Astyanax mexicanus: one gene and its partner. Each later gene encodes a partner of the first gene's protein in a complex. Links are inferred from orthologs where the notes say so. Each region holds a gene or a part of one and is shown in the gene's direction. Other genes may lie near its edges.

Region 1 (17,323 bases):
TGAAAAAATGAGATTGGACAATACTGTGTTAGAGGAAGGGCCTCGGATTTTGACCAATTCACCTTATAGCCAGAGAATTTAGAAAATGATTCGATAATACTCAGAAGCGTAGGTACTGAATGAATTGGATCAGTTACAAATAAAAGAATATCGTCTGCATAAAGCATTAAAATAAGAACATTTCTTTCTTTCAGTGCAATTCTATTTTTACTTGAGTGTAAAAAATATTAAAATATAATAACACAGGTGCTGTCTCTCTCCATACATGTTGGTTGTTTGGCTGGTTCCGCTAAGCCACGTAACGCAATAACAAAAGACCAGAGACTCATGAACAATTAAGAGAATTAGTGCATGCCTTTTGCGCACTCTGAGCCGCAAAATCCAAGCTGTGCAGTGCACGGTTTACGGCTCACCTATAGTTAGTTAAAATAGGGACATCTGAACTCTGAAGTGTGGTTTTATCTTTCATGTCTGTAACATGCAGAGTATCATTTGCCTGTTGGCTCACTGAGAAATCAAATTCGCAGCCAGCGAGAGTAAGATCTGTCTGGACATGAAAATGTTGCACACACCTTCCAAGGTCCTGCTGCCAGGTTTAGGTGCAAACAAGACGGACACGCACTCAACACTCCGCCACTTTAAAGAGTCGAGACAGACCAGGCATTATGTACTTCCACAAGGCCTGCTGAGTTCCTGCTGTCTGTGGGGGAAGCCTGTTTTGACCTGTTTAACAGAGACTGCAGATGAAGAGGGACATTTTTGAGCGTACACATGACCACTGTTGGTCTCTGTCTCTAGCTCACTCTCCGTCTCGCACCCTGGACTTATATAGCCAGCTATAAAAGGAGCTGTGTGGCTCTAGGAGCTCACAAAATCTCAATCTGAATTAGATTGTCCGGGGTTGTTGACAGGGCTTTTACAAGATATGTCGCCCTTTCCAAGGGAATACCACTAAAGCAACAATAAAAAAGAAAGTGCTGGACCGCTGCTGTACTGAACCAGTGTTTCATAACCGCCTTAGAGGTGACCCAGTTCCTGACCAAGCACTATTACAGCACAGTGTCTCTTCTCTGCATCTCATTCTATCCACAGAGATCATTAACAGAATACTGTACACTGAAATCATATTTTCCCAGCTATATCCCTCTTATTTTCCCTCTTTTTACTACCTGATGGCCTGTGACACAGTGGGCAATTTTAGTGAAAACTGCCATTTGATGACAACCTGGTTGAGCTAGAGTTGCAGACATGTTGGATTGTTCATGTGAACAGCTTTAAACATAGATTTAAATGTTATATATATATTGCACCTTTTAAGCTGAGCTAAAGGTTTGCCATGTGGTTCAGCCAGTCCTTCTTCTGTACCAGTTACCAAGAGTCTTTTTTAAAGGTGTCCTTCCGCTAAAATCCACTTTTTCTTGTTCTCTGTGAAATACAACAGGTCTCTCTGAGTTGTATATGCATGCTGCACATGAAACTATTCCTCAGCCTTCATTGTCTCCAGTAGCTCATAAATGAAAATGAAAAATATTCAGAAAAATTAGTCAATCAGGAAAAGCACCCGTGTCTACGTCCAAACCCGTTATTTAGCTAGAACAGCATGGTAGTTCGTTCCTGTGTTATTTGTGCAAATATCACATCGGTGTTATATGCTTTGCCCAGTAATTAATTAAGATTAATTAATTATTTTTAAACAGTTCTGTTTACACTATTTAAAATTATACTTATTGACCTGGACTATCCACCTCTGTATATAAGTAACTAGGTTTACATAGGATCTCTGGTTGGTTTTGTGTTTTATAAAGACTCTAAGACTAGGTCAGTGGCTGAACTGCACTTAGCAGGGCATTACACATGTAGGCGTGGAGCTATTCCAAGATATAAAGGTGGGCAGGGAATTTTCGGGCACATTTAAATAGCTTGATATTTTTATGTAAAAAAAAGTAAATGAATAATTAAAATTCATAGCACTTTCAAGCACTTTCATTATATATATATATATTGAAACATTGCTATTTAAAAGGATTAACTTTCAGGCAACACTGTGGCCATAGCAACAAGAAGAACTTAAAAAAATTTGAAAAACACTGTATAAAATGTAGAAAAAGTTATTTAAAGTGGAGTTTAACATTCCCCTATGTATGTGTAATAATGTGTTTATTTAGAGTAAATCTTGAAATTTTGATGTATAGTTACCCAGTGTTTAAAAATCAAACAATCATGCCGCCAAACAAAAGACACATTATATTGATACTGACCCGTAGGTGGTGCTCAGACAGACCACGTTTCTCAATGCGTCTGAAGGATGTTGTTAAGCATCACCACCACCTAAACATACACACACATACACAAACACACACGCACTTACACACAAACACATGCATGCACACGTACCTATCCACAGATTTAGCATCCTGAACTTTTCCTTCCTTGACACTCTAATATAATGAGTGTGATGTCGAAATGATGTCTGGGGTAACTGTTTCAGAGTAACGCAGTCTAAACATCTGGTTAACCCAGTTGCACACAATTCTCTCCCAGGGCAATCAAGAAGATTCCAGAGGTTTTTCTTCAATATGTTGAGCAAGAGATGCTGGATGAGGTTCAAAACGTTTAAACAGTCTTGAGTGCACTGTGGCCCCCAGTGCTTATTTGTATTACTGCACCCACAATGGTACAAGTACACAAATACAGTGGTATAAAAAGGTTTTGGGCACCCCTGATAATTTACAGGATTTTCCTGTATAAATCATTGGTTGTTTTGATCAGCAATATTAGTTAAATATATCATATAGCAGATGAACACAGTGATATCTGAGAACTGAAATTAAGTTAAAGGATTTACTGAAAGTGTGCAATAATTATTTAATAAAAAAATAGGCAGGTGCATACATTTTGGGCACCCCAACAGAAAATAACATCAATATTTAGTAGTTCCTCTTTTTGCATAAATAACAGCCTCTAAACACTTTCTATAGCTTCCAATGAGAGTCTGGCTTCTAGTTGAAGATATTTTGGGTCATTCTTGTTTCCAAAACATCTCCAATTCAGTCAGGTTTGATGGTTTTTGAGCATGAACAGCCCGCTTTAAATCACACTACAGATTTACAATAATATACAGGTCTGGGCACTGAGATGATCATTCCAGGACGTTGTACTTGTTCCTCTGCATGAATGCTTTGGTAGATTGTGAGCAGTGTTTAGGGTTGTTGTCTTGTTAAAGTATTCCGGCCCCGGCGCAATTTCAACTTTATCACTGATTCCTGAACATTGTTCTCAAGAATCTGCTGATTTTGACTGAAATCCATGCGACCCTCAACTTTAACAAGATTCCCAGGACCTGCACTGAACACACAGCCTCACAGCACGATGAAGTGTTTGTCTTGGAATTCTGTTTCTTTATCTGTCATGAATACCGCCCTCCAAATAACTCAATTTTAGATTCATCAGTCCACAGCACCTTATTCCAAAATGAAGCTGGCTTGTCCAAATGTGCTTTAACATACCTCAAGCAAATCTGTTTGTGGTGTGTGCACAGAAAATGCTTCTTCTGTATGACTCTCCTATACAGCCTCTCCTTGTGTAAAGTGAGCTGAATAGTTGAATGATGCACAGTAACTCCATCTGCAGTAATATGATGTTGTAGGTCTTTGGAGCTGGTCTGTGATCTGTGGGTTGACTATGACTGTTCTCACCATCCTTATCTGAGATTTTTCTTGGTCTGCCACTTCGGGCCTTTACTAGAACTGTCCCTGTGGTCTTCCATTTCCTCACTATGTTCCTCACAGTGGAAACTGACAGCTGAAATCTCTAAGATAGCTTTTTATTTATCATTTCAATAAACCATGATGTTGAACAATGTTTGTTTTCAGGTCATTTGAGAGTTGTTTTGTGGCTCCCATGTTGCCACTCTTCAGAGAAGATGCAAAGTGGAAAAAAAACTTGCAATTGGCACCTTAACCCTTTCTCATAAATGGATTCATCTGTGTGTGTGTACGTATTTCAAGGGTCAACGAGCTTACCAAGCATTCTCATTATTCCTGCTGTAGACATTGCTGTAAACATTTCCCCTCGTGGATCAATAGAGTAGAAACCAAGAGAGTAGAAACTAAAAGAAGATGTAAAATCAATCAAAGACTTTGCATATTGGCCAGTACCAGTACAATTGTTTTGTCCTGAAGAAGAAAGTCGTCACTGGTATATTAACTGCAGACAGCAATTGTGCACAGAAAAATGTACAAGTTTAGAACAGTGTATCAGATCCAGATGTAAGTAGCTGAAAATAAAAGCTGAAATGTTGATCTTGTGTCTCAAATGTACATTTCAATGCCAAACTCAAATGTTTTTAATCTACAGCAGAAATAATGGGATTTGCTGTTTTAATACTTTTGGAGGGTACTGTATATCATCACTGTCCATCCCTGTCTTGTATATCTAAAGTTACAGAAGGAGGAAAAATCTTTTTGTGGAAGTCAGTGTAAATTATTTTTTAGGTCAGTTGGTTACTGTTGCTCCATTCATCATAAAAAAATGTGTAGGAAACTGAAAGATTTGTATTATGAAAAAAAATTAAAATGGTAAATCAAGATTTATGTATGTATAGTAATAAAAGCTGTTGTAAAGTTTTAAGTGGTATATGTGAATGTGGTAATATTATAGTGATAGACAACAGTTTGCTAAAGCAATCCTTTGCCCATGTGGTTCTATTAGCTATTGCTGAATGACAGTTCTTGATGCAGTGCCATGTGAGGGATCGGAGATCACAGGTGTTTAGTTTATCCTCTATACACTGAAATTCTTGAATGGTTTAATTATATCTCGTGAACTGTACAGGAATAGTTGTGCAAATCCCTTCTAATCTGTTTTTGAAGAACATTGTTTTTACACATTTTAATTATTTTCTCAGGCATTTGTTATCTTCTGCCCATCTTGAAAATCTTCTGCCCATCTTTGTCATTAAAGACACAGTCTTTAATGGATACTGCTATTGCATCAAATCATGTATCATGTTGTAATCACCTTCTGACATCACCTGTTTGAAGCAACATATTTTTTTTATTGTTTTACATCATTAGCAGTCCTAAACCACTTTTCCTGCTGAAATTATAGATTAATATTATTTTTTTTAAACGTTGTGCAGACAAAACATTAAATATCTTGGGCCCATGCTGTGTGTAATCAAATAAAATTAAATGTAGTATAGACTTTAGCATTTTCCATACTTTCCCAACTTTTTCTCTGACCTAAGGTTGTGACATTTCATCTGTAAATATAAACTGATTGGATCTTTCCTTGAAACTTTCTCTCTAAAACCCACAGTCCTATACGGCACTGCCCAACAAGCAGTCTGAAACCGCAGATTCCCCTCATTAACTTGGCTACTAGTCCTGAAATAATATACCAAAGACCTTTATGTATACTGAATAGACCGAGCCCACAGCCCACGTGTGTACGTCAATGCGAGACGTGTCATGTTCCCCTGCTCTGGGCAAACGCATTGACTCACACTAGCCTGGGGTAGCTAGCCGATCTCCACCACAGCTATTTGCCGTCTGACCCCAACCGTGGAGCAGCGGTAAACAACGCATTGTCTCCTTCGAGCCATGCAGGCCTGCTTCAGACTCAGTCTGCTAATGCAACCACACACACTCCAAAACACTCACTTCAGATTGTTGGATATTTTACAGTGTTATGTTTTGGTTTGGTTTGCTGAATTATCTCACACTCTACGCTATTAAAATTACACAATCCTTAAGGACTTTTTGGGAGTTCTACCATTTTTAACTGAGGAGAAACCACTTAAAGTGCCTTTAGGAAACATATTTCTTCTAAAAATCTTTTTTATAGGTTGCGTAAAGGAACACTGAAGAACTTCTAAACGTCCCTGAAGGATCTTGTAATTCTAACCATGTTCTGTGATTTCAAATGCACATAAAGGGCTAGAGGTGGGAACTTAAAAACAAATATTCATAATAGCTGCGATTAAATACTGGGTAACACTTTCATGAATATACCATTAACTAATGATTAATAAGTTATTTTTCACATTTTAATAAATTACATTTGTAAATACTAATGAACAAATTGACGACATGAACTGCAGTTGGTAAACATTTACCTAGTTTAAAATTTGCATTAACTAGCGATTAATTAATGTTCATATTCTGATGAGCTAATGATTTGCTAACATTTTTAATATGAATATCTATGCTGATAAATAAGTGTCATGTGTGAGCATTTGTTAATATTCAAATTCTGATTAACTAATGCTTTGTCCTTATCTACTGATCATTAGTTAAAAATATATTAATGAAAGTTATTATAAAGTGTTACCAAATACTGTTACCTGTTGTAAATACCTATTCGGATGGGATTAATTTCTTCCTGGGGTAATTTTCTCTTTTACGGGGGGTCCTCTGTGATTTTATTTCCATCCGGAACGACCATGTACGTGTTTTCCTCGGACATCCCCTGAGAAAATTACAGGCTGAATTACCTGCTGAATGTGATGTCATGTGACTGAGAAAGCCAAAAAAACTCACTGGTCCTCCTGTTTTTTCAATTGCAGTCCGGAGTTTTATCACCGAAGAAGTGTAGATGTGTGAAATATTTTTCACAGACGTCCCCCTGAGAAACTAATCCCGTCTGGATGATTCTTATTCAAAATGTACTGCACTGTTACATAGCCATAACATTAGCACCAATTGCCTAACCTGTAACGGACCAGGCCCAGTTGTAAATATTGATACAAATTTTAAAATGTAATCAGTTAAATTAATTGAGTTGCTCAATCATGTTTTTTTTATTAAAGATCACATGACTGTAAACAATTTAAGGATAAAATCCAACGTAAAAAAGGTTCATAATTGATATATACGTATATATATTTTAGAAAATAAAAATCTGTTATATGTAACGTAATACTTTTCATAAAAGTATATTAATTCAATTGAAATTGTTAAAATTATTGTAATTGCGTTCTGTAAATTATAATGATGATTAACACACTGTGCTGTGATGCACTCAGGGTATGTTACTCAGAAACTTCATGAGTTAAAATGCTGTAAAGTATTTTTCACAAGGGGCTGTCACACATACTTCATGGGCTCTTCTGAGTTAACGCATGAACTATCTCTCCTTAGCTATGGTAAATGAGCAAGAGTCTAAAGACACATCAAGCTTGGATGCTGAGAAATAAAAAAAAAAACAATACTGATACCCAGATACAGAAGATATTGTATAAATACATGCATACACTGCACTGCGCCTGAATATCAGAGACATCAAAGTAGGAAATAGGCGCAATAACAAGACTTTATTAAAAGCAATATTAATAGGCATTGCATCAATGTGTTAACGTTAACAGCATTTATTGCATTGGTTGTTTTTTACACAACCACTTCTGTTTGTGTCTCATCCATGATGAATTTTGAGGTATGTTTTGGTTCATTATCCAGTTATATAAACCTTTCTCTTTTTAGACTGAAAACACATGGTTTGACATTTGCATCCATAATCCAAAGGATTTTGTGGAAATCACCCGTGCAATATTGCCAATGCCACTGTCAGCAACACAACTCTAAAGCGGAGCAGTCTGTGCAGCATGTGATCCAAAAGCAATCTTTACTTTGTGAGAAGCTACGAAAAAAAAGTTATGATAGGAAAAAAATATTTGAATTAATTATAATGTTAAAACTGAACACAAACAATAATGAAATTTAACTGATATTATTAAGAAGAGTAATTTCTTAATTTCTTAATTGCCATAAAGGCATACAACTTCTTTTTGATCATGTTTTTTATGATAAATAAAATAGATTGATTTGCAAACTTACACAAACACAAGGCAGATACTGGGCCCTATTTTAGTGATCTAGGGCCGAGCCATCAATGGTGCACCGAACAGATTTATTTAGAGCATGTCAGTTTGTGTTTGGTATTATGAGAACACAAGTATGCCTTGCACGGCTCGAAATACACAAAAAGCATGCACTAATTCTCTTAATTAAACCTGGATGTGTTTTGGGCATAACATAAAAATGATCCAAACAGTGTGTCACTTTCCGTTTGCTTTAAGACCCAGGTGTGCTCTAACTGCACATCTGCACTTTTTAGCAGAGGAAACTGACCTGCGTAGCCATAATAGCAGTGAACGTCTGACTGTTGTCAGGGTTTAAATTAGTCAGGACCCACTTGTGTTTTCTGTTGCCATCATAGCATTATGCCTGAACACACCTCACCTCCAGACCACCACACCCATCGGTGTAGATATTTTCACAAGAGTCTTTGCTATTTAAACGGCGTGAGCACAAGGTGTGAAAATAGACTGGTGGCAGGGTGTAACACAGAAATTAGCTCAGTGTGTAAGATAGCCCCATAATGTAAAATGCTGTGAAAATATTACTTTTAGTACAATTTTAGTTTAGATTTTAGGCCATATTTGTGAAATTTGCAAAATGCAAAGTTTGTTTTAGTTTGTATTGATTTTTTTTTAATAAATGCATGTTTTTGTGTTTCTTAAATTCTTAAATTCACATATCCATATTATATCAGAGATATTTGCTATGTGCAGGTATTATGTATGAAAACATTTTAAAAAATTTATCTGAGAAATGAACAATTACTGCACAGATAAATATCTTCTTTATATATTGCAATAATGTTATGTTGTGTACTTGCTAGTACTGTATTGTATTACCAGCAATTTTCATAAAATATAATAAAAACATATAATAATGCACTGAAATAACAAAAAAGAGAAAGTGTCATAATAACATTATGCAGACTGTTATTAATTTAGGGCCATTACACCAAAAGGGTGCCATTTCTGTCCCCAGGGAATGTCATGTATAAATGTGCACACAAAAAAACTTTAAAATACATTTTATTATTAAGCATAGTGTCTTGTACATTGACCTAATTGCAAAAGTAAGATATGTCATTTAAAAAATATATCGTCGCTGTCCAATGAAAAACACTTATCTCCATTTTTGTCGATTTTTAGTTTTCTACATAATCTGAACAGACAAACTGTCCTTTACACTTTGCCAAAATTTCTTGATGAACGGACCAATAGAAACTCTTCAAAATGACCTGAAATAAACTCTTTTTACATTGACTTCTATTGAAAGTTTCCAAGTTTTTTTCTCTCTCCTGTAAAGTTGCTGTTTTGGAGATAAGTGTTTTTCATTGGACAGCGACGATATAAACTTAACCATGAAATACAATTATTAAAATCTGATGTAATTTTTTTTTGCATTGTTGTGTGAATTCAAATCCCATCTATGCTTTAAATAATAAATCAATAGAATTTAAGCTAAAATACACATTATAGTTCCTTGGATTTCACTTATTCCTGTTTCTGTAACACATTACCCCATCTGAAACATCTGGAACATTCTACACACATCTTCAACAGAAAGTTACTTCAGTTGGTTCTTCTGAAGATCATGGGTAGACCAAAATTAAGTTCTCTTATTTGATTTTTTGTATATTTGATCTTATTGTAACTATGACTCTCATGAATCTCATCACTCATTTCTGTTACCTAAATTAAATTTTTTTTGTTTATGTTTAAAATACAAATTTTGGAAAAATGTCTAGAATGTGCTCGGTGTCCTCATACTATTAGCATAGCCGCTATTTAGCTATTTTTCATGTTTTTGCTAATTAAATGTTAAAAACTCATTCCTGTTAATTTCATTCCTGTTACTCAAAACATAAAAGGTAACAGGAATGAGTGCCAGTAACAGATGTGATTTCCAGTAACAGGAATTAACAGGAGTTTTGTTTTGTCATAAATAGCAAGTTTTGTAACCATTTTTGGTTTAGAAACCTTGAATAAAAGTAAGTAAAGCTGACTGTGTTTGACCAGTAACTTCTACATGTTTTATATATTTAAATACATGTGTTATTAGATTAATTGTTAAAAACAGATAAAACAAAATAAACACGTTTAATTTAGAAGAGTTAGAACAAGCAAATGGCACCCATTCGGTGGAATGGCCCTTTACAATTTATTAAGTATTTTATTAAAGGGACTTTTATTATGTACGCCGCCAGCACGTCATTCTGAGGCGTCTAGCTGCTGAAAACACAACCTTTACTGCGGGTCGTGTGATAACATGCCTCTCTCTGTGTAGCTTCTCTCTCTCCCAGGGAAGTTTCTCTCTTTTTCTCAGTGTTTACAGGGCTGTAATCATGCAGAGAGCTCAGCTCTGCGCTCTGAGGAGCGGCTTCCTGCGGGTTTTCTACCCGTTAAACGCTGAAAACACCCCAGCTGTCAGAAACAGAGGTAACTCCACAGGCTGCGCTGTGAGGCTAAGCTAAGCTAAGAGTGCTGTAAGTTAAGTAACGGCCGTCCCCTGTCTGTACTTGGGCTCTCCTGTTAATGAGCGGCCGTGCTTTTTTAAAGTGCAGACTAATATTAACTGTTTCTGTGAAAAACTTATAGATGTTCCACAGTTTTCCCTGATATAATCCCTGATGTTTTATTTACGCAACAGCAACATAATTAAGTTTTGCTAGCTCCCTGAAAACTGTTACAGAAGCTCAGTTTGTGGCCAGAAACAATGTAAGCTAGGCTAATTTACCTAGGTTTGCTAGTCATTTTCTTCCCAGCTTGATATAGACTATGGGCCAGTCACATAGTGTCATATCTTATATATTTTTTGTATAAATGTTATCTTTATATTCATTTTTGAAGTACAAATTAAAAGTTAATTAAAAACAAAAACACAGATAATGGTATGTTTAATGATTAGCAAGCATCTGTTTTTAAATAAACTCTTCAAACAGTCCACACAAATCATGAAACACTCTTTATGTTTTCTTTTCATATTCTTTTCTCAAATAGCTAATTACAAGTTTTTAGGACAAATAGTATTCAACATGCTTACACACAAAATGCACAACTTCAAAAACTCTATAAATGATTGTGCTAAACACTATTGTCACATTAAGACCAACAAATGCCACTGTTTGATAGTATAATAGCATAATAATGCAATGCTACCCATTTAAAAGAAAAGTGTGCTTTTAATCAATAATAGTTTGGGGAATGTATGTTTTTTTTCTTCGTTTGTTGAAGTAGTTTTGGTGGTTATCTTAAGTGTATTATCCTCTGAAATAACTAACGAAGGATGAATAATTTGTATGCATTGGCTTTTTCACTCGTAATTAAGTAAAAAAGAGTCTTTTAAACTATTAATCTAAGATAGTAATCTTAGCCATCTTTTACATGAGGTTACATCTATGAATTAATTAAAACAGTCTGTGGGTTTGGGGTTTAGATATCTCTCTGGTGGGAATGTGAATTGAGCAAGTACTTTTAAAGCATGCAAAATAGTGCAGTCTCCTTTCAGAGTGGATAAAACTGTTGATTTTAGAACAGACTTGTCCTGCTCTATTTTAGCTCTGAATGGAGAATGAGCAGAAGAAGACTGAGTTTGTCGTTATTATACCTCCATTTTTACAGTAGCTCTTATATCAGCATCATTAGCAGCTCTGCACTTGCTCAGATAAGAGGCTAAGATAAAACTACCAGGAAAACCTAATGGACCAGTTGTTTTTAGAAGGAATATATTTTATAAGGACACTGATGGCATTTATTATAATACTTTGCCCTTTTTCAGTTCAGTATCGTTTCAGGACTGCTGCTTTAAATCAAACTTGCACTTTATTTTGACAGGCCAGATGAGTATGGTTTGAGAGAATTGTTAATTCTGGCACTGTACCGTGCATCAGACGGAAGATTTATCTCTATTTATTCTGTACATCTCATTCCTAACATGTTTTACTGTCTAATAAAAGATCTCCTTTGCATGCTTGTTACAGTAAATAGCTCCCTGTTGTGCAGAAAATACACTGTACTTCCCCCACCCCGGGACAAGGAGGAAAAGGCCATGCTGGACAGCATGCTGCGGGTGGACCATGCAGGAGAATATGGGGCAAATCGCATCTATGCTGGACAAATGGCTGTCCTGGGAAGAACCCAGTCAGGCCCTATTATACAGGTATTAAACATGCTTCTGTTATTCGTATGTCTAAACAGCTATGCTTTAAAAAGACATGTGTTTTTAAGTCTAATACTAATTCCTTGCAATATACTTCATTTGCAGAACATGTGGGACCAAGAAAAAATGCACTTGCAGAAGTTCAATGAGATTTTGGGAGAGAACAGGGTGAGACCAACGTTGTTGCTACCTCTGTGGAATGTTGCAGGTTTTTTACTTGGTAAGTTTGATTCTGTATAAATAGCATTATTATAGTGCAGCAAACAATATGTTACTTTTATGCTTATTTTTACTTTTGAAAACTTACTCTGAAACACTAGCAGAAATCACATTCACATTTAAAACAGGAGCCCCCACACACACATACTACAAAAGTCAGTGCAGTTCATGATCAGTTTATATACTGCTATCCCAAGACTTATGCCACGTCAGTGTATTTGCAGGAATCAGCTGAAAACAATTCTGATTCACATCAAACTACTCACAATGACATGCTCACATATTAATTTATTATACACATTTATTTTGTTTTATTTTTTTTTTCTATTTTCATTTCCTACCCAGGTTCTATTTCCTAACCAGTAGCTAGGTCTCCCCTACCATACTATGGTACTATCGCTTATGTAGCATCATAGGACAGCTGTTACATCAACTAACAGACTTGCTAGCATTGTGCTAAGTGTTTGTGGGAGAAGGAGGACCATTTTTCTCACCCAGAGAGAGTTAGGCTAGGAATACTCTTTGTGATTCCCAGACACATATGACTTGTGACATCACCAGGGATCAAATTTGCTAACTCCAAATGATAGCCCTATCGAAACCAATATCATGTTAAAAAAAACATTATTCAATTTTTAGGAAAATATAAACAGTAATCATTACAGTGCCTAGGGCGTTGTATGAGTATTTGTAAGATGATGTCTCTATGTCTGTAGGGGCCTCTACAGCTCTCCTGGGTAAGGAAGGTGCGATGGCCTGCACGGTGGCAGTAGAGGAGAGCATCTCTGAACACTACAACAGCCAAATCCGGGCGCTAATGGAAGAAGATCCAGAGAGATATAGAGAGTTATTACAGGTCTGACATGAAAATTTGAGCAGTATTTTATGTTTATACTGTTACAGTTACAGTTTACAGAGTAGTATACTTTATTCTGGCTGTTTGATATTGAAACATCATTAATTCATGTAGTAATTGTTTTTACCTCCACCAGCTCATTAAAGAGTTTCGTGACGATGAGTTGGAACACCATGACACTGGTCTGGAACATGATGCTGAATCAGTAAGTGTTACTGTCAACACCCTCTAACATAGAATTCTCACCTTGGGCATATTGAAATTTTCTATAAGGCACAAACTGACCAATATAACTGTGCTTTTGAACTAGGGCTGCCACAAACGATTATTTTTATAGTCGACTAATCACCGATTATTTTTTATGATTAGTCGACTAATCGGATCATACGTTAATTGAATATAAAACACAGTTTATCACAATAGAATGCAGCTGCTATTATACAACCAACATTAGATTTCAGCTATATGCTAACTAAAAATAAAAACAATTAAAATCATAGTTCATTAAACCTTTAATGAAATATGCAGCTTGTTGTAACAGACAATTATTTTACTGTTTAGCATAAAGTGTAAACAACTGTGTAAAATAAGGATAAGGCACTGGCATTTATGAAACATCTCAACCGTGAGGTTGTTTGAACTATTATGAAAAAAAAGTATATTAATAAAAAATGCCTCTCTGTCCAGATATTGTGTACATTACCGTACACAGGGCAGCGGTCTGCACAGATCTGATTGGCAGAGGAGAGCGTTTGGTGATTTTACACCACACATGACTGATCTGTGAGTTTACTGCACCGAAAAGCACTGAAAACAGAAGCCACTGTCAGAATGAAATCCTTCTCTGTAGTTTATCGGTTTGGGACGGCATTTGTGACAACGTCTGGGTCCGGATCCGGATCGCGGTCCGCCTATTAGTGACCTCTGTTTTAAAGCTATCAAGATGAGTAAGTTAAGTACTAAGTTAACGCTCTGTTTACGCTAATTTTACCAGCTAAATAGCAATTTAGCTTCTTCGTCATTTAATCAGCCACAACATGCCTCCTTTTCAGGTGCTCGTGCATCGCGGTTGTGCTGCCGAGGAAGGCAAGTTCTTCATTGCAGATATTGCATTGCACGCGTTTCACTTTTATTTTCTTGGTGATCCCACACTTTTGAGTTCTGTAGCGGGGTAGCCATGAAACCAGAGCCTGTCTGTATAATGTCCTGAGATGTCGTCCACTACCTACCCCGGTTTCCACTACTGCGCATGTGCGTCCAGGACAGAAAGGCAGTCGCAGCAGTTTGGAGAGAAAAACAAAGAAGAAAAAAAAAAAAAAACGACTAATCGACTATTAAATTAGTCGTCGACTATTTTAATAGTCGACATAATCGTGACTAGTCGACTAATCGTGGCAGCCCTATTTTGAACCTCACTCAGCATGTAAACAATGGTAAAATATCAAACATTAATGTGCTTTTTGTGTGTGAATTCTAGTAACACAATCTTTAGACATCTATAAACAATGTATATGTTATTCAGCTTAAAAAAAATATATACATTTAAAAAAAAACTTTATTTTTACAGTGATCAACTTTCATCTCAGAGAAACATACTGCTTGACGGGCACAGGAATGTAGCATTAGTCCTCTTAACACCTGTAATTATCATGCATTTTTGTGTGAAAATATCACACAATGTTCACACCTGGCATTTTAAATGCAAGCAGTGTGCTTGTGACATTTGTCTCATCATTTCCCTTGTAGGAGGGTTCATGCTTTTCTTGTGCGGACGGTGTTGTATTGCGGTTGTGGTTATTATATGTTTCGGCACAGGCAGTGACAAAGTGACAAAGTTAATGTGAGCAGTGCTTTGCTGGCTCAAGGGACATCAAGGGGCTTTAGTGTTCACAAGCTACACTAATAATGTAGTCAAATGCATCTCTGATCATCTCTAAATAAAATATGAGAAATTTATGTTGGCCAGTAAGGCTATGTTCATACAGAAAGTGGTAGTGGCTCAAATGTGCAAAAAAACACACTGAATCTGACATTCTCCATTCCATTTTGAGACACTTCAATATGTGTTTCTGAAATCTGACACAGATCTGATTCGCAGCATTGCAAATGCCTAAACAACCAGATCAGAATTTATGTGACTTTCACGTCAAAGAGAAGGAAAAATGGACGACAGCTGTGAGTGAGGGTTTCAGTGGAGGGATAGTGAGATAACAGGTGTTTTGAATATTTGAAATGATCTCTCTATTCTAATAATATAAGGGCTGTTTAAACAAAGGTTTAAGAAACCAAGAAGCAGAACAAAACACTCATTATGGCTGAACAACAGGCTCTTGGTATTCTGCCTCTTTAATGAGAAAAACGAATTTGAGACACTTTCACCTGCTGTGTGAACATATCCTTATGATCAGATAACCCAGGATGTGAACGTATCCTGGTAATGGTTCTCCATAGCAGTTCTGAGGCACCTTGCCACTTGATTCCCCTCACTCCTGAGCCTGCTGGTAGTGTTTTAAAGTTAGTGTTAGTAAAAGAGTAAGGTCAGGTGTATTACATCAGGGAAATCGGTAAACTGTGAAAATTTTTTTCAAACCAGTCATATTTCACCATGACCATGTTGCTTTTTTTGTAAAGTATAGTGAATTGCTTATTCATAATCTTTACTTTTTTCGTTTACTTCAGGTACCTGGATATTTGCTTTTGAAAACGGTCATACAAGCTGGATGTAAGGCAGCCATTTATGTGTCTCAGCGTGTTTAAGTACAAATTTGTGTTTCGGTAATATGTACAGTATATAAGTATTTTGTTTATATTTTAACTGTAAAATGATACAATGTTGAGGGTGTAATTTCTTGAATATTAAACATTAATTTGTTCAAGCAGAATTTGCTAGAGCAAATGAAATGTGTACAGGCAAAAAGGAAAAGGCATGTGTTTTCTTCAGTGTTATTGCTTTTTTTTGTATTTATACCAGTTATTTGGACTAAACTCTGTTTGGGGAGTCAGTAAAGCTCAAATCATTCAACCCAAATCAGAACTTAGTGACAGGAGTGCCTGTGTCTGTCTACTTCTGCAATGGAAAAAACGCCACCTGGTGGTTTCCAAAAGTAATAGTTCTGATAGTCTCTGAACAGAAAACCTATTTTAAATAGGTTTGTATTTGTAATGTTATTTTATATTATGTCAGTTTTTTTAGAGCTTCTTTTTCTTGCCACTCCTGCAGTCCCTCATGATGTTTATCCTGCTTGTGATATACATGCCATAATCAATAAACATTCAAGTTGAAAAAGGAATTTGTTTAAAATCTTTGTTACAAATTTTCTGTTGTTACAGTAAAGCCTCACCCCTGGAGGCAGTTGGGCTTCACTCAGGGTAGCAAAGTTATCTGTTGCTACAACATATTTCCATCAGTTTGATTCCAGAGATAGGGTTGCCACCAGTCCCGTAAAATGCCCTTTATTTGGCATTTAAATGTTTTGCTCTGTATTACCATTAAAGTCTAACAGACACACACACATTAACACTACATCACAACAATAAAGATCAATAATGATCGATTTCCTATCTAGTTGTGCTTTTGCCAAAAGATATCAGTGCAAGGGGCATAACTTATTTTCACATAGTCATAATGGGCTATTTTGTGTAGAATTTTGAGGAAAGAGATTAATTTAATACAATTTGTAATAAGGCTGTAACGTAGTACACTATTGTGGTCTGATTGATTATTTAGGATATTGAGTTTTTAATCAATGATAAATTATGTACAGTATTATTATTCAAAATAGATATTATTTGTGGCCATTTAAAGAACAAATCGTACTAATTGATTAACAGTTAATAAATAAATACATTTGTTAGAATATAATTTTTTATTTATATAAATTTTTTAGATATTGTATTTTGTGTTAAAATGTTTTTATATTTTATAGAAATTATATTTTCTAGAATTGTGTGTGTCTGTGTGTGTATATATATATATATATATATATATATATATATATATATATATATATATATATATATATATATATATATATATATATATATTTTTTTTTTTCCCACATTTTGTTACGTTACAGCCTTATTACAAATTGTATTAAATAATCTCTTTCCTCAAAATTCTACACAAAATAGCCCATTATCACCATGTGAAAATGCATATCTGTTCACACCTGGCATTTTAAATGCAAGCAGTGTGCTTGTGACATTTGTCTCATCATTTCCCTTGTAGGAGGGT
Region 2 (16,973 bases), on another chromosome or scaffold:
ATGGAAACCCAAGGAAACTTGAAGTTCTTCTGAAATCTATCAGGACTAGGCCAGGCACCACAGCTGTTCCCCATGCATCTTATTTAGACTACAGTGAAAAACTGGCTTCAGTGTTTACCATACGTGCAGTGGCAAAAAAAAAAAGAAAAACGACAGCAGCTGGTCTATGCAGCCTTTGTTTCGTCTGTTGGGTTTAAATTTCACTAACAAAAGAGCTCTTTGTTTGAGAGTAGACTGAGCACAGTGTTAGGGTATACGTGAAGCTGTAGTGTATCTAGCTTCTAGATACACTTTTATAAAGATTTCTTCTTTTTTCATATATATATATATATATAAACATTGTATTTACTTCTCAATGTATTCAGCTTGAAGATACTGGTGTATTTACACATGGTTTCAAAATGTATCTTGAGTATCTTAAACTCTAAACAATCTATTTGGTTGCTTTTATATATGAAATACTTGCTATGGCCTGGCTTTACTTGCTCTACTTACAGATAGCTAACTATCCAGTCACACTAAACTTCCACTACTGCAGTTCCAGTTCAACTTTTGGAAATTACGCCTTCACATTCAGACTAAAATGACTGTATTTATTGTATTATTGTAACAAGTACCAACTCTGCTTTGCATTAGATCATGTTCTAACCTGCCTAAGGTCTGTTGTAGATAACATGCCAGTATGTGGGCTAACTGAAATTTAGAACATTAAGAACACAGAACTATCTTTTAAAATATTTATGGTTCTCACCCATCATTTATCAACTTCTTGCTTACTCATTCTTGGCTGCACACTCAGGCCAAGCCATGATAAGATAACACTTAACTGTAGAAAATTTAAAGGCAAACTTTTTACTTGAGGAGCCTATCGAAGCATAACATATGCAAATTCACTGAGTCTGATCTCTTTTTTGTCATTAAAATCAGAAGCTCGTCACATAAATCCACCAAGAATGTTTTACTGAAAAGCAGTTTAGTTTGTGGGAGTTTTATATAAATATATATCTAGATCTAGATCCCGATTTTCTAATTATATATACTAAATATTTGTTCTTGCCCTTTCATAACCATTGTGTAAAATGTCAACTGTCATGCTATGCTAAAGAAAAGGGAACAGGGCTTGGCCACTCATTTTGTTCTGTACAACCTTTCGTAATGATTAGCCTGCAATAGCTTAAGGGAGTGGAAGCAGGTTTAATCAGGTTGAACAGGTGCCCCCTGTTTGCTTTCAAAACAGTAAAAATACAAAGCCATGCACACTCATGTAGCTCACACTAAATCTGGCATCAATTCTTTGAGATATATATGTGGCTTAGAACAACAAATATAGCACACATAAGAACAAAAAAAAACATCAATTTAAATAGTTTTAGTGTGATGAAAACTTGTGAAACTAGAATGCAACAAAAGTTTCGCAAGAATTGTGTTGCAAAACCAGACCACAATATAAACGCAATACATTGCAAAATTTCAAAGGTTCCTCAAATTTCACAGACAAGTTCAGACACCACTTTAATGATTCAGGCTTCAGGTTATCACATGGCAAACATGACTCAAATATCCAGAATGTCCTCTGACTCATTGAATCTGTTTAATGTGGCTGAAACTAGACTGAAGATCATGTATGGGCACATTAAAGAGGGAGGCTACAAAAAGAGGGCTTGGATTAAATCAGCAAACCAGAGTCTTGAATCATACTGAACTTTCATTGTGACATGGCAGTTCAATTTTGTGTGACTTATCTCTTAGTAAAAAGGAATGCTTGAGGCAGGATGTTGAGGCAAACAAATTCCCCTACTCTACATTTACTTGTTCTCATGGTTCTCATTTCAGCATAAACTATCATGACACAGATATGTGGATTCATCTTTATTTAACAACAAAACAGGATAGGGGATTGGTCAGACATGAGTTTTGGCAACAATATTTATCTAGAATGTCATGCAGTTCACAGAAACTAAACTGAAGGTACTTTCCAAGCAGTTGTCAGGGACTTTCCACCCCTCCCCCACAGCAGTATAACCGCTCTGTTTGGTGCATGAGTGAGAGGCGGGTTTTTTTTTCAAACCTACTCCCCGCTATATTTAAATCTAACCAATAGCATTCATATCACATCTTGTGTTTATAATAGTACCTCATACTCCTTCAGTGTTCCATTCCAACTACAGCCGTCGTTCGGGCACTTTGCAGGCAGGCCATCAATTTCTCTTCGTGCTGCATTGTCTGGAAATGCCTGAAAGAGAACAGTGGGTCAGTTTTCCTGCAAACTAAACTGCTCTTGAAAAGCATGTGCAAGTGAAAGTGTTCTAGTGGTCATCCTGAATTTCTTTCTTACTAAAGAGATAGTGAAAGTACAGAACAGCGGGACGGTATACTAAATGGATTGTTCTTTTTTTTTTTTTTAATACATTCTTGAGGAGTGACAGATGAAAACATTTCTTACCTCAGTGATGCTAAGCATGGAGTGCTCCATTTCGAAAATACCCTCAGCACGGCAGGCTTCACAGGGTATAGGGCCCGAGCTGGTGGGGGTCAAATAAAACAAGCGATGAATGTAAACTGTAGATTGTAATACCATATTTAGGCCTGTCACTATTATGACATTTTAGATGACAATTAAGACATATAAATTATTGCTGGTTCATTTTGCAATTTTTTTTTTGCAATTACGAGCCTAAGTTGGCCTTGCTGGTTACAAAAAACCAGAAGCTATCTAGCTTACTAGCTAAATTCATTAGTAGCTACTGCAATAAAATGATAATATATTGCTCTGTGTTGCAGTTCCTACAGATCGCGATAACACACGACCTTGAGTGTTCTATTGCTTTTATACTACAGTTTCTTTTTTTACTAAATAAATCAAGAAAATAAATCAAAGAACTTTAAGAAATTCAGTTTGAATATGCTTTAATATGGACTGAGCCTTCCGCCAAAAAGTAGTTCCACCACAACTTAACCACATACAGTGTATGGTTCAGGCAGACTAACACCACGAAAGTTAGCTTGAAAGCAAAATTGGGAATAGTGAAGATGGTAACGTTAGGAGCGTGAAATAACGCTAATACCCTCCTCTCCTGCTCCATGGAGTCGTCTTCAGGTGAAAGCTGCGAATTTTAGCATTTCTGCTTATTTTCCTGGGTGGCGTTGGTTTTAGCTAGCTGGCTGGACTGTGGTTAGGTTAGCGTAGCTTGCTTTAGCTTAGCATTAACTTAGCTTAACCTAGCCTGGCTGGTTAGCGTTCTGGCTGTAAGACGGCATTAACCGAGCGATTTTCGTTCCCTTTTTTCCACGAAAGACGAGCCAACGCTTCGGGTGAGCTTGCCACGGCTGAGCACTAGTCTGTGCTAAGCTAACGCTGCTGCGGGTGTCCTGTGTATATACGGCGTTACTCGGCAACGCGTCGGCGGAGAGATACAAGTTTAGTGTGAGAAGGCCGTGATGTTATCAAGAAATATCATCACGGCTAGATCACTTCTCAACCAATCAGATTGTGAGGTCGGAACTAACTGTTGTATAAATCTAAGCCTGGCATCCCATAAGAGGAAAAAGATTATAGATTTTTAACACTACTAACCAGATTCCCCTCTCAAGAGTACAGCACATAACAGTAATTATCAGAACACAGAAGAGCTAACAAGCACTACCAACCACACAAAACAGCAAACCGTGCAGACCACATTTAACCCCAAACAAAAAGTACCTCAGCAACAGTTCAGTAATCTAAAGTAAACATGCGATAAAGGTTTTTAGGTTTTATAAGCTTGAAAAACGGCAGTCTAGAGAGTATGTTATAATTGTGGCAGGCCTAATATTAATTATCACACCATAAACATACAAAAAAAAAACATTGATGCAAAAGCTGCTTTTAGAATTAGAATATGGTTTGCAATAATATATTTATAAAAGGGAATAACATTAAACAAATGGTATGCAAAGCACTCAAAGGCAAAGTACTGCTAAAACTGAAAAGCAGAACTGAATATGGGTGTCAAATTCAAATTCAGTTTCCAGTAACAGAACGTTACAACTAATGAGGAAGTGTTTAATTCTTTTTTTTAAAAATGAACTAACCTGAAAGCCATTTCCTAGCATCACATGGTTAAGGTTAAAACTGCATCATAGAACATTAGACAGAATGTTTTAAGAATGAATGAATGCATGAATAATTTAGTAGTCATCCAATATGCTCAGTTCCAGTCTTTCCACTTCTTAGGAAATTTAACCCCTGTTACACTGAACACATACTGTTTTCTCTGTAAATTGTATGACTTATTTACCTCAAACATCACGGTCAGAAGAAAACAATTGTCATTTTCTTTATCAATGCAGTTTTCTTATGACAGAGACAATATCTGTACACCACTAAAGTTATATTGTCATTTTGTAGGTGCGCCATCCTGTTACGCCCATATTGGGCACCTATTTTGGGATCTTACCTCTATTTTCAATAGGAAAATTGCATGAGTTTTATTTATGTAGTAAACAAATATGTTCAGTGCACTGTACATTCTGTTCTGTGTACACTTATCTGCTGAAGTTAACTGGATCTTCTGATTTATTAGGTCATTCAATGGTAATAATACTAACATGGCTACATGGAAGCTAATGCTAATGTGCATCAGCTAGACACCAGTAATCTACACTAAAGTAAAGGAGGCTATAACGGTCGCATCGCTTGTAGTTCATCGTTCCTTTGTAAAGGATGAACACAAAACCATGAAATGTGTTTAAATGTGGGTCTGGTCATGATGAAGAACAGATGAAGAACAGATGAAGAACAGATGAAGAACAGCTTCACCACAGCCTATTATGTCCCTTCTAAAAAAAAACAAATAAATACCAGCTTCTAACTCTGCTGCTAACTGGTTTCAGATGATCTAGGCTGGTGCTTGGTGTTTAATGGTTTAAGCTGGTCTATGAGAGTGATCAAGCTGGTCATGTTGATGGAATTGCATGGTAAACAACCGCTTTACAAACTGAACTTGCTAATACTTGCTAATAAGTTTAGCATACTACAGTCTAATGATGTCAATTCAGTGCACAGCCGCATTAGCATTAGCTAGCACCTGGCAATATTAGTATTACGACTCTTTTACAATCGTATATACCAGAGGATCCAGTTCTGTTCAAGATATAAACGTACACAGAAAAAAAACATATTTATTTACCACAGAACAAAATAGAGGATCATTTTAGAAAAACCCATCATTACTTCCACTGAAAACTGGGGTTAGATCCAAAATCTGATGCTAGCACGCCAAATATCTGCGTAACGATGACTACAGAATGACGCAAGACTTTGGTGGTCTACAAGGGCATTGTTAACTTAATACTGCATGAGTCAGCATGGTTGCAGAGCTCACCAAGGAAAGAGCACATAATGATGATCTCTTCAGCCACAAAGGTTGGATAAATGCAGTTTATTGCAACAGGGATTTTGCAGGGAGATGGAGGAGATGGAGACACAGGAAGACAGCTGGATGGCTCTGAGCAAAAAGAAGGTGAATTGGCAGGATCTGAGCAAGCCTTTTTGGGAAAGGAGGAGTTTGGCATGCTCTGGAGAGCATGAGGTCCAGAGAGCTTTGTACCTTGTAAGCTGTTTAAAACAGAACACACAGAACCGATGTCCACACTGGGCCTGGAAGGGCTTCCTCAGAACTCCTTTGCACTGCTGACACTGGTACTTAGGTTCCATTGATACAGAGAGTACCTGCCGTGATATTCCCGGCAATGTGGAGTCCACGGAAGAGGGCAAAGATTGTCGTGCCATTCCCTTCCATTTATCCGCGAGGCTGACCATCCTTTAAGACATAAAGGAGAAGAAAAAGACTGAAAATAAAAAACAAGACAAAACGGAATATACATTAACCACAAAGATTACATATAAAACAAATTAACAAACATTTTAAATCACAAGTGGATTGGTCAAAAAGTAATATGTAGTACTTGGAAAACTAAAAGTAGCTACTCTATGTCCTACTTTTCTGTCTGTAAATCCCCTTTTATAATCCCTCGTTTGTAATTCTATATGTCCTGTCTAAACACTATGTATGTCCTGCTTTGTTTTTTTGTTTTTGCTTGTGAACTGTGCAGAATTTGGACTGGTATGTAACGGCTTTGTTACACTCATATACATCCCTGGAAAAATTATATTAAAAAAAATAATATGTATATTTTAATACATCTATTATTATCTAGTATTGTTCTCTTCAGGCATTTGTAACTAAAGAGAGTATAGCTCCTTCCTTGCCAGTAGGTGGCACCTCATCCTAATTGGTGGTTAACCCAAAGGTGGTCGTTTCCACTGTTCGTTCTTCTCACTTCCTCAAATTTAGTCACCTAGCAAATAACTCGTAAACAAGATGCCGAAGGGAATGGAGTGGAACGACTACTGGAAAATCCTCATCATAGTTTCTGATAAAGCTAAACTAAAACTACAGACACACATCACATCAAAATATTTGTGTCGTTAATTTTGTATGACGGCGTGTAAGGAAAAGAGAACATGTTCCACCGTTTTACATAAGCATGGTCTGAATGTTACCTGAGGGTGCACATGATCACACATTTCCACCAAAGTACATCTCAATGAATGCTTCGCTTCACCCACACTTCTCGATTAGATGTTTCTGATAAAGTATAGCATCTCGAAAAACGTATCACTTCTCCTACGCCTCTCGAAGTCAGCTAAAGCAGCACTTTGTCTACTAGATTAGGAAATAAGACTAAGCTGCAAGAACATAGTGAAATGAAAAATGATTCATTTTTTTTTGTGCTGAACTTTCCAGAAGGTCTTTTCAACAGAAAACAGATCTTACAGATAAAGGGTTGCCCCATGTTTAACCAAACAACAGCGATGCACACAAGGGGGTGGTGTTTGACTGGTCAGGCATATCCAGTTCACCCCAGTGTCACAATAGTATAAAATTAAAATTTCTACACACACACTTTCCTTTTAAATGGCCCACTTCTTTTGAAAATTTCCTCCCGAAAAATGTTTCAGTTCCTGTTTAGTTTTTTTTGTTAATTCATTCATTTCCAGGGTGTCCTAAAGATTTTAGATCAACAGAACATCACAGATCACTTCTAGACTGAATGCCTGTATACTTACATCGCTAACATGTTTAGTCGTGTACTGATTTACACCTCATTTCAGTGGCATGGCATGAATGCCTGATAAGAATATTTTACTAGGTACTAGTTCTAGGAAGCATACTCTGCAGGTGTGGATTACAAATGCAGATACAATTCTTAAGATTCCTCTGTCCTACACTATTTTATAGTTTGCGTGAATAGCGGAAAGAATATCTGGCAACACATAAATATGCTGTTTATACTGTATCTGTAGATAAAAAAAAGACATGCAAACTCCATACATTCCATTTTTTTTAAACATTTGCTTCTACCAGCACCACGGACTACAAATGAATGTGACTAACAACTATTTCATATTTTTGTTTTGATGCATGCATTATTTTCTACACTTTCCTTATTTTTCCTACGCTTTAATTTTAAGACAGGCTAAAATGAGATAACTTGGCAATTTAGGCAAACGGGGCAATGTATAATTCTTGTTAAAATAAGTACATTTTAATGCATTTATATATTCATTAATATAGCTGCTTGATTTTAAATATATTTAACTCCCTCCTACACTCACCCTAAACATAAAATACCACAGGTCACAACCCACCCCCACACCCTTCCACATTGGATGCCAGTTTCCGCAGTTTCCTGTTATAAAAACCCACATACAGATCCTAGCATTCATTGTAACTTTGCCAAATGAAGTTATGTAGATGGATCACATATCTTTATTTGTCAGCTAGCAGACAATGAATACTTGGGCAGTTGCTCATCCAAATTGCATGCATCTTCGAGATTTCTGCACAGAACACCAAATTGTTGTTTATATTTAATTGCTGAAAGATAGAACTAGAAGCATATCTGTGCCAACACACAAAGGGTTTGTAACCACTTTATTTTGACTGACTAAAATTCCAAAGAGCTGCAAGAAATAAGAAGGATGGCTGCAGATTCCAAGATTATCAGTTCAAACAACTGCGCACAAGTACAAATTACTGGGAGGTGTAGAGATTTATGCAACCAAAATTCTATTTTAGTTTCTGATGGCAACCAAAAGCATCTTAAAAAAGCAATTGTAATTTATACCCATGCTTGCATACCCCCCCCCACACACACACACACACAGTTAACAGCTGTGCTGCACTTGTCAAGAGTTCATTATTTTAATTTCTTGTCTCTTAATGTGTTTGAGAGCATTGTGAAGATGTAGAGTTGGTATTCAGTGAATAGTAATTTGAGTAATGTTCTAATCCATATTATGGCAAAAACTACTTAACTAAGTAAAGAAAAAGTACTTTAAATAATGAAGGTCAGTCAACCCGAAAAATTTCAAGAACTTTTAAAGTATCCTCAAGTGCAGTCGCAAAGACCATCAAAAACATTATGACAGAACTGTCTCTCATCAGGACCACCCCAGGAAAGGAAGACCAAGAGTTACCAGCCTCAGAAACCACAAGTTAACAGCATCCCATATAAGACCCCACCTAAATGCTACTACAGGATTCTCTATATTTGACTTTATGATTCCTTCACAGTCTGGGAGATTTAATGAATGAATTAATTAATTAATTTAACAAACTGATAATGTGTAAACACACACACACACACACACACACACACACACACACCATGAACTTTACAACAAACAGACTAGCATCTACATGGATCATTATAAATAAGCAAAGTGAGTGTATCATGTGTTAACCACATGTCAGAGCCATGCACAAAATATGTGTTCTTTTAAAAACACTACAATCATTGTCTGGAAGTGCAGACCCCCACAGACTCTGTAATTACATTTAGGATGATTACAGTCACACTAACTGTTGATTTCACTGTAAGAAGCCTTACTTTTAGATGACTTTGCACCAGCAAATGACATGACTCTCCAAACCATTACTGATCATCAGTCAATTTTACATTTTATTTGGAAATCAATAAACCAGAGTCTGGAGGAAGAGTGGAGAGACACACAGTCCAAGCTGCTTGAGGTCCAGTGTGAAGTTTCCCCAACCAGTAATGGTTTGTAGAGCCATGTCATCTGCTGGTGTTGGGCCACTGTGTCAAGTCCAAAGTCAGTGCAGTGTTTTCCTGTTGAATCTTACAGCACTTCACGATTCCCTCTGCTGACAACTTTTTATGGAGATGCAGATTTCATTTTTGAGCAGGACTTGGCACACTGCCAAAAGTACCAATGGGTCTAAATTTCTGTCACATTGATTTTTGGGTTTTTATTGGCTGTAAGCCATGATCAAATCAACAATAAAAGCTTAAATAAGCTTCAAATAGATCACTCTTTGTGTAATACATCTATATAATATCTGAGATTCACATTTTGAACCGAATTACTGAAATGAAGTAACTTTTCAATGATATTCAAAGTTTTTGAGATGCACTAGTAGAAATATTTTTAGGTTAATTATATTGTCACAGAAACCATTGGTTTTACAGTTTTAAACTGTCAGACATATGTAAAAATGTAAATTTTGTGCTAAAAAGTTGTGCTATGGTTGTTATAAAACACATTGTTGATGCACACAATGTTCCCAGGCAAAGGTTAACTAGTTTAAGTTTACAAGCTTGCCACATATTACATAACAATGACTAAAACAAGAAAAATAGCATCAGCTGAAAACTGTAGGTAGCTAGCATGTATACACCTGTTATCTAGCCATCTAGTTAACACAGTAGACTAATATTAAAGTTTCTGTCTGTTTATGAATGTTTTTATTATTCTTTCTTGGGTCAAAGTCTTAAGAGACAAAATAAATCTGTAGCAAATTTTTTTGCTTTTATTTGAAGGACAAAAATGCTGTAAAATACATAACGTTGATGTAAAGACGACTATTTCACAGTATTGTAGGTTAAAACAGTCCTGAGAAGATTCAAACACTGTGTAAACAATAGACAGACTTGTAGCTTAGTTACTTAAACTGCTAGCCAGCTAAACGATTAGCTAGAGAAATACTGATCATTATACTCCTAAACACGGAGTACAAGACTGCTATTTAGCAAACACCTGAAGCTCACAAAATAACACTAGTTATAAGCTATAAAACTATATAAAGTACAGCATTATTTAACGTTACTCCTCTCTAGCACTGTGCTGTGCTGCGTTAGCTAACCCAGCTAGACTTTAAAGTGTTAAAATGTAGGACAAATACAGTCACTAGAAAACATTCAACTGAAACCACAACATCTTACAGTGTTTAAAATATTACTTCGCTATTTAACTACACGTCACTGTTCTGGTTAGGTTAGTAAACCAGCTTTAAGGTCAGTAAAAACTACTATAATGTTAATGTTGAATCATAAACAGCAGCTAGCGCTAGGTTAGCTAACACCATATAACCTTCCAGTGACATAAACACGAGGACGGCCTGTTCAGCACGTTGACTACCAAAGCGGAGACGATTCGCAACGAAAAGACACGAACTCTGTGTCTGTGTGGTGTCTGTAGAGCAGATACACACACAGTCGAAAAAACTACTCACCAAAACGTCCAGCAAGTCTGCAGCGAGGGCTGTTTAAAGGCTGACACGATGAGGAGAGTTTTATCATCCAGGGTGGGAGGTACGAACGCAAACCATTTAACGCTACTGTTCAGTGTGCACACGATACGACACACAGCGTTACAATGGCACTGTCTGCTTAAATTCTGGAGTTTTACTCGGGTAACTAAAGCTAAACTATAGTTAAACGATGTCCTGAGCTTTATATAAATACGTTTCTGCCGTGGTTCTTTAGCTAAATAAGCTATTTAGCTGGCTAAGCTAACGTTACTGTGTCGCTATGGGAGACAGGACTGAAGCTGAGTCTTCAGATATAACTTAACTTGTATACTATTTTATGTATGTAAACAAAATTATTTAAAACCTTTTTTCTTAGCAAGAAGCTTATTTTACTTGTTTAAGCACTAGAACAGATACAGGTAAACTTCTGTAAAGTAAAAAATATATGCAAGTCTATAATATTGTACTTTTTCTATGTTTCTTAAACATTTGGTGCCTAAGTTAAAAAAGTATTAGCAAATAATTAATGTTTCTTTTTATACATTGACTATATTCTTATATTATGTCAAGAGTGTATATGTATAATTCTTATTTTATGTATATACAATATGTCTGAGTGTATATGTATATTCTTATATCATATTATATATTAAAAATTATATAAGTTTGTGTATTTGAAAGACCTAAAAAAATATAGTTTATACTAGTCTATAATATTAAACTTTCATGGTTTGCTTTTTCTGAATTTACATGTGTCTTAAAAGTTTGGTGCCTAAGTTAAAAAAAAAGTATATTCAAATAATTAAATAATGTTTCAAATTATAAACGGACTGTACTCTTTTATTTTACATGCACAGTATTTCTGAGTGTATATGTACCAGTAGTTCTATCTTATATGCCTAAACAATTATTTTATAAATGTATACATTTAAATTATTTATACATTAACATTAAAAACATTTTTCTTGGCAATAAGCTTATTTTTACTTGTTAAACCACTATGCACTATACAGGTTAACTTGTAAACTGTAACTGTAAAGTAAAAAATATACTAGTCTATAATAGTTATAGTCATATAGGAGTTTATATGTTTTTTGAACATCTGGTGCCTAAGTTAAAAAAAAGTAATAACTCATTAAGTATATATACACAGTATATCTGAGTGTATATGTATCTAATTATTTGCTTGTGTATTTAACAGACCTACCATTGGTATTATTGGTATTAAAAGTCTACTAACCACTAGAAATATTTTTTGTTCTGAGCAACAAGCTTATTTTTAAAATTAGAACAGATACAAGTAAACTTCTGTAAAGTAAAAAATGTAAATTAAATATAGGTACTGTAAAAACAAATATACATTTTTAATAGCAAAATGTCACATCCTGAAGCATTTTTCAAAGTTTAAAATGGGCTGCATTTATAGGATGAAAAGTGGGGGGAGGAGTCTGTGGGAGGAGTTTAGGAGAACATTGTAGAAGCCAGCCAATATATGTCAGAAGTGTACAAATCAGTGAATAAGTGAGTTTTCTGACACTAACATGAACATTATGTGTCAATATTGCTTCATACAAATATAAATATATAAAAAAATAACAATAGTAACAGCTTGAGTTGCTGGTGACATCATATGATATGGCTTTCTGTAGACTTGCAGTGTTTTATATTTCTTGCTTAAGAGAGTTCATATTCTTTTGACAATTCAATTAAAAATGCAATTCAAATTTATTTGTATAATGCTTTTTACAACAAGTTTTGTCACATAGCAGCTTTACATAGATACAGGTCCAAGCATCTTATGAATAAGCACCAAGGTGATGGGAAGAAACCTTAAAAGAAGCAATGTTAAAGACCTTCTGAACAAGACGGGGAGGACCTTTATAGCCAACAACCAGGAGGAGCTTAGGAACGTAGAGAGCAGAAGCTGAGGAAGCATAACATGAAGGTATGGAATGATATGAAGACAATCACAAGCTGTAAGCAGAGGATGGACAGTGCCACTGACGGTGATGTAGAGAGAGCCAATGAGTTTAACCTCTTCTACAACTGGTTCGACTGCTCTGTTCAACACCCTGAGGCTCTGGCAGACACATTCTCCACATACCACCTCATCTCATCCTTCTCATATACTCATATTCATGCACCCCTCCCACAGGCTGACAGCACAGATCACACGACCCCTATTGCCCCCTCTTTACACTCAGCTGACCTGATCTACAGCACCACTGAATCCCCCTTCTCCCTCTCTACACACCTTCACTGCAGAGCAGAGATGAGCTGAGGAGACTCCACACAAGAAAGGCAGCTGGGCCGGACAAAGTGTGTCCCAGACTACTTAAGTCCTGTGCAAATGAGCTTCCACCCGACCCACTCTCATCTAGTCATGTTTTTTTTTATTTTTCCAGCCCCTCCAACTTAGAGACAAGCAGGTGAGGATGCAGGTGGATCCATATTTGGTCTCCTGGATTACTGATTACCTCAGTGGCAGACCTCAGTATGACAGGCTGAAGTACTTTACATCAGAGACTGTGGTCAGCAGCACAGGTGCAGCCATTGTGGCTTGTTTACGGGCAGTGAAGGAGGAGGAGTACAGACACCATGTGGAAGACTTTGTGGAGTGGTGCAATAGGTACAACCTGCTGCTGAACAACTCCAAAACCAAGGAGATGGTGGTGGAACTCTGCACGGCCAGGCCACCCACACAGCCTGTCTCTGATTGTGAGTTGATGTGAAGATAGTTAAGACCTACAGGTATCTCGGACTGCATCTGGATGATAGGTTGGACTGGTCAGCCAGCACAGATATATTGTACAGGAAGGGGCAGAGCCGGCTCTACTTCCTGAGGAAGCTAGGGTCTTTTAACATCTGTCGGAAGCTCCTGCTGATGTTTTATCAAACCGTGGTGTCCAGCTGTCTTTTCTATGCTGTGATGTGCTGGAGAGGAAGCATAAAGAAGAGAGACGAGATGCAAGAGGAGGACACTGCACAAACTGCACTTCATTATAAATGATAATGATCACCTACTGCATACCATCTTCATGGATCATAGGAGCAGTTTCTTTTTAACGCATATTTTTTATTATTTTTGAACTTGGTACAACATTCATTCAACATGTTTTTTTCTCTTTTACATCTTTTAAATCTTTTAGTTTTTAAACAACTCCCCTACCTCCACCCACCCCCAAACATGGAGCCATCAGTTACAAGAAAACAGAAAAACAATGATACTTAAATTAAATAAAAATTATATGAAATCAAAGAAAATAAATTATTAAATAATATTAAGCATGAAAAAACAGTAAGCACATCCCATCTGCAAAAGTGTAAAAGTAAACATGTAAATAATGAATTAAATTACAACAAATTATAAGGCACAATCTTATTTGGTGTGTGTTAAATTCTAGGAGTTGGTAGATCAGGTCTTGTTTCTAGAAAAATATTAAATGTCCCAAATGCTATGAAAAATATGATTTTTTTGTTTAATTGTATACGTAAGTCTTTCAGTCGCTAAGCAGGAAGAAAGTTCGTTAATCCACATGTTCAGAGAGGGACAATTAACACTTTTCCAGTGTCTGGCAATAAGACGTTCCGCATGTAACAAACAAAGGTTGAGCAGATTCCTCTCATGTGTTCTCAGAGCCAATGTTTCTGGTATCAGTCCGAGAATGCAGATTTCTGGACATACAGGGATTTTTTTTGTGGATTCTGGTAGAAACTGTGTCCGTTATTTTTTTCCAAAATTCTTGCACATGTTCACACTTCCACATACAGTGAAACAGGGTTCCCGTCTCTGTTCTGCATTTAACACAACTATCAGGGATATTATAATTAAATTGATTAAGTTTTTCAGGAGTTGTTGAAATCTTGCCTTTAGTATAAGGGTCTGATGTTGCTAGCTCTTCAACAGTGCTTAGGGGGGGACATTTATATGAATGTAACCTGGAGTGAATAAAACTCCGTATTTGCAAATACTTAAACATATGAGTAGGAGGGATCCCAAAATTTTCTTTAAGATAGTCAAAGGACATTAGAGTATTATCTAGATAAAGATTTGAAATCTTTTGTAGACCCAATTGAGCCCAAAGTCTGAATCCCTGATCAGATTTGCCAGGTAAAAATAATGAATTACCCCAAATAGGTGTAAATGGTGATAGCCCATCCAGCCTTTTAAACATTTCCTGTGATTCGTGCCAGACTATTATTGTGGTTTTAACAAATGGATTTGCTGTTTTCTGCTTCAGTCTTTTAAGAGAATCAGAATATAGATAAGAATCCAGAGCTAGTCCCTTAGTGTTTCTTTGTTCTATCTGGATCCATGGTAAATTGGAAGGATTAGAAAACCAAAAAAACCCCGATCTAAGTTGAGCTGCTCGAAAATACCATAAAAGATTTGGTAGTTGAAGCCCCCCTCTTTCATAAGGAAGATATAGTAATGTTAAGCGAAGTCTTGATCGTCTATTGTTCCACAAGAATTTTATGAACACTCATATTAGAAAAGAATGTTGGTGGGGGTGTAAGGGGAATCGATTGAAATAGATATAAAAATTTGGGGAGAACATTCATTTTAATAACATTGATTCTGCCAATTATAGTAAGAGGGAGGGTCATCCATCTATCTAAATTGGCGTTTACCTGAGCAACAATGGGATCATAATTGTATGGGATCATATTTTTAATTTGCGGTGTAATATATTAATTCCTAAATATTTGAACCCATCTCTAGCTACTGTAAATGGATGTTGAATTGTTGGGCTAATTCTTTCTTGTTCATTGAGAAAAAGTATTGACGATTTTGCCTGATTAACCTTGTATCCTGAAAATTTTCCGAATTGATTGATCAAATTAAGCAAGACAGGTATTGTGTTTTTTAGGTCTGAAAGATATAATAATATGTCGTCTGCAAATAAAGAGATCTGATGTTCTATTTCTGAAATATAAATTCCCTTTATCTCTGAGTGATCTCTAATTGCTATTGCCAGGGGTTCTAGGGTCAACACAAACAGCAGAGGGGAGAGAGGGCAGCCCTGACGAGTACCTCTTGACAGACCAAAGGGTTTTGAAGTAAAATTATTCGTAATCACTTCAGCTGATGGTTCACGATAAAGTATACTGATCCATTGACAAAATTTCGGACCGCATCCGAACCGCCGGAGTACATCAAATAAATAAGGCCATTCGACTCTGTCAAATGCGGGAGCAGTTTCAGTGGCAGTTTTCTGTCACAGAGCTGCTCTAAAGACAGACTCAGGAGATATTTTGTCCCGAGAGCCATCAGAGACTCCTTCTAGTGGAGCTGAAAGAGGAGGAGGGCAGATGAGAAATGAGTCTCATATGTTTTCTAAATCACAGGCTATTTTTATCTCTACTAAAATCACTCACTGTACAACATGGACATCTACACTCCGAGACTCTGTTGACACTTTACTTTACATGCTGTACATTTGCACTTCTGGACACTATTGATCCTTTACGGTCCGTCTGTCCGTTCATCCATCACAATGTCTTTAAAGATGTGTAGATTGAATTGTAATAGTAAACATTTTATAGTTCATATTTGAAAGTAGAATTTATTTGAGGACAAACTGCATCACAGAGATCATTCATTTAAAATATAATATAGTAAAAAAAAAAGGGTTTTATTTAATTAAATTGATTTATTTATTTTCATTATACTGATACAGGGTAGAACAATAAAGAAAACACTCTTAGGCTAGATCTCCAGTGCAGTAATAGACAATACCAATTATTATAAATACAATATAGTACACTATATTGCCAAAAGTATTCGCTCGTCTGATTTTGCCTTTGCCATCCAATTTAAGTTGTCCTATGCAGACTAGATTGGGAGATTGTTGTTGTAACCAGCAACCAGTGAATCCAGGAAATGACTGACTAGCAGAAAATAGATTAATCAAGGTAGTGTCTTTGTTTGCATCAGCGGTGCTGGGCAACAGGGCAACCGCAACAGCATTTGTCAAACATAACATAAAGCCAATAGCAAACACATTGGTAGACTTGGTAAGAATCTGAACTAACTGCATGACCGGAATAGAACAGAATAAGCCTACAGTGGTATGAAAAAGTTTGGGCACCCCTGATCGTTTTTATTATTTTTATAATCAGCCATTTCAGTTTACTATATCATAACTATATAGCAGATGAACACAGTGATATTTGAGAAGTGAAATTAAGTTTATGGGATATACAGAAAGTGTGCAATAATTCTTTAAACAAAATTAGACAAATGCATAAATATGGGCAGTGTTCTTTTGCTATATGTTATATTTAACTTTAATTGCTTATCTGAATAACTAATGATTTATAAAAGACAATCATGAAAGTTATCAGGGCTGTCCAAATTTTTTATACCACTGT

Evidence for each region.
Region 2: coq7 (region 1) and coq4 share a complex: the UniProt entries of both Homo sapiens proteins name them as parts of the multi-subunit COQ enzyme complex. The link is inferred for Astyanax mexicanus from reciprocal best matches to the Homo sapiens genes COQ7 and COQ4.

Annotation. Positions count from the first base shown.
Region 1 is NC_064412.1:39,290,480-39,307,802, reverse strand, and holds coq7 (5-demethoxyubiquinone hydroxylase, mitochondrial), read left to right. Parts: upstream 1-10,070; 5' UTR 10,071-10,200; coding exon 10,201-10,294; intron 10,295-11,835; coding exon 11,836-12,014; intron 12,015-12,119; coding exon 12,120-12,234; intron 12,235-12,949; coding exon 12,950-13,089; intron 13,090-13,225; coding exon 13,226-13,294; intron 13,295-15,768; coding exon 15,769-15,846; 3' UTR 15,847-16,379; downstream 16,380-17,323. UniProt on the Homo sapiens protein: Catalyzes the hydroxylation of the 5-methoxy-2-methyl-3-(all-trans-polyprenyl)benzoquinone at the C6 position and participates in the biosynthesis of ubiquinone.
Region 2 is NC_064408.1:19,903,667-19,920,639, forward strand, and holds the start of coq4 (ubiquinone biosynthesis protein COQ4 homolog, mitochondrial), read left to right. Parts: upstream 1-10,536; 5' UTR 10,537-10,628; coding exon 10,629-10,659; exon of another isoform or gene 10,660-10,715; intron 10,716-16,973. Other genes in the region: traf2b (TNF receptor-associated factor 2), read right to left, coding at 2,135-2,233, 2,444-2,522, 5,589-5,800. UniProt on the Homo sapiens protein: Lyase that catalyzes the C1-decarboxylation of 4-hydroxy-3-methoxy-5-(all-trans-decaprenyl)benzoic acid into 2-methoxy-6-(all-trans-decaprenyl)phenol during ubiquinone biosynthesis.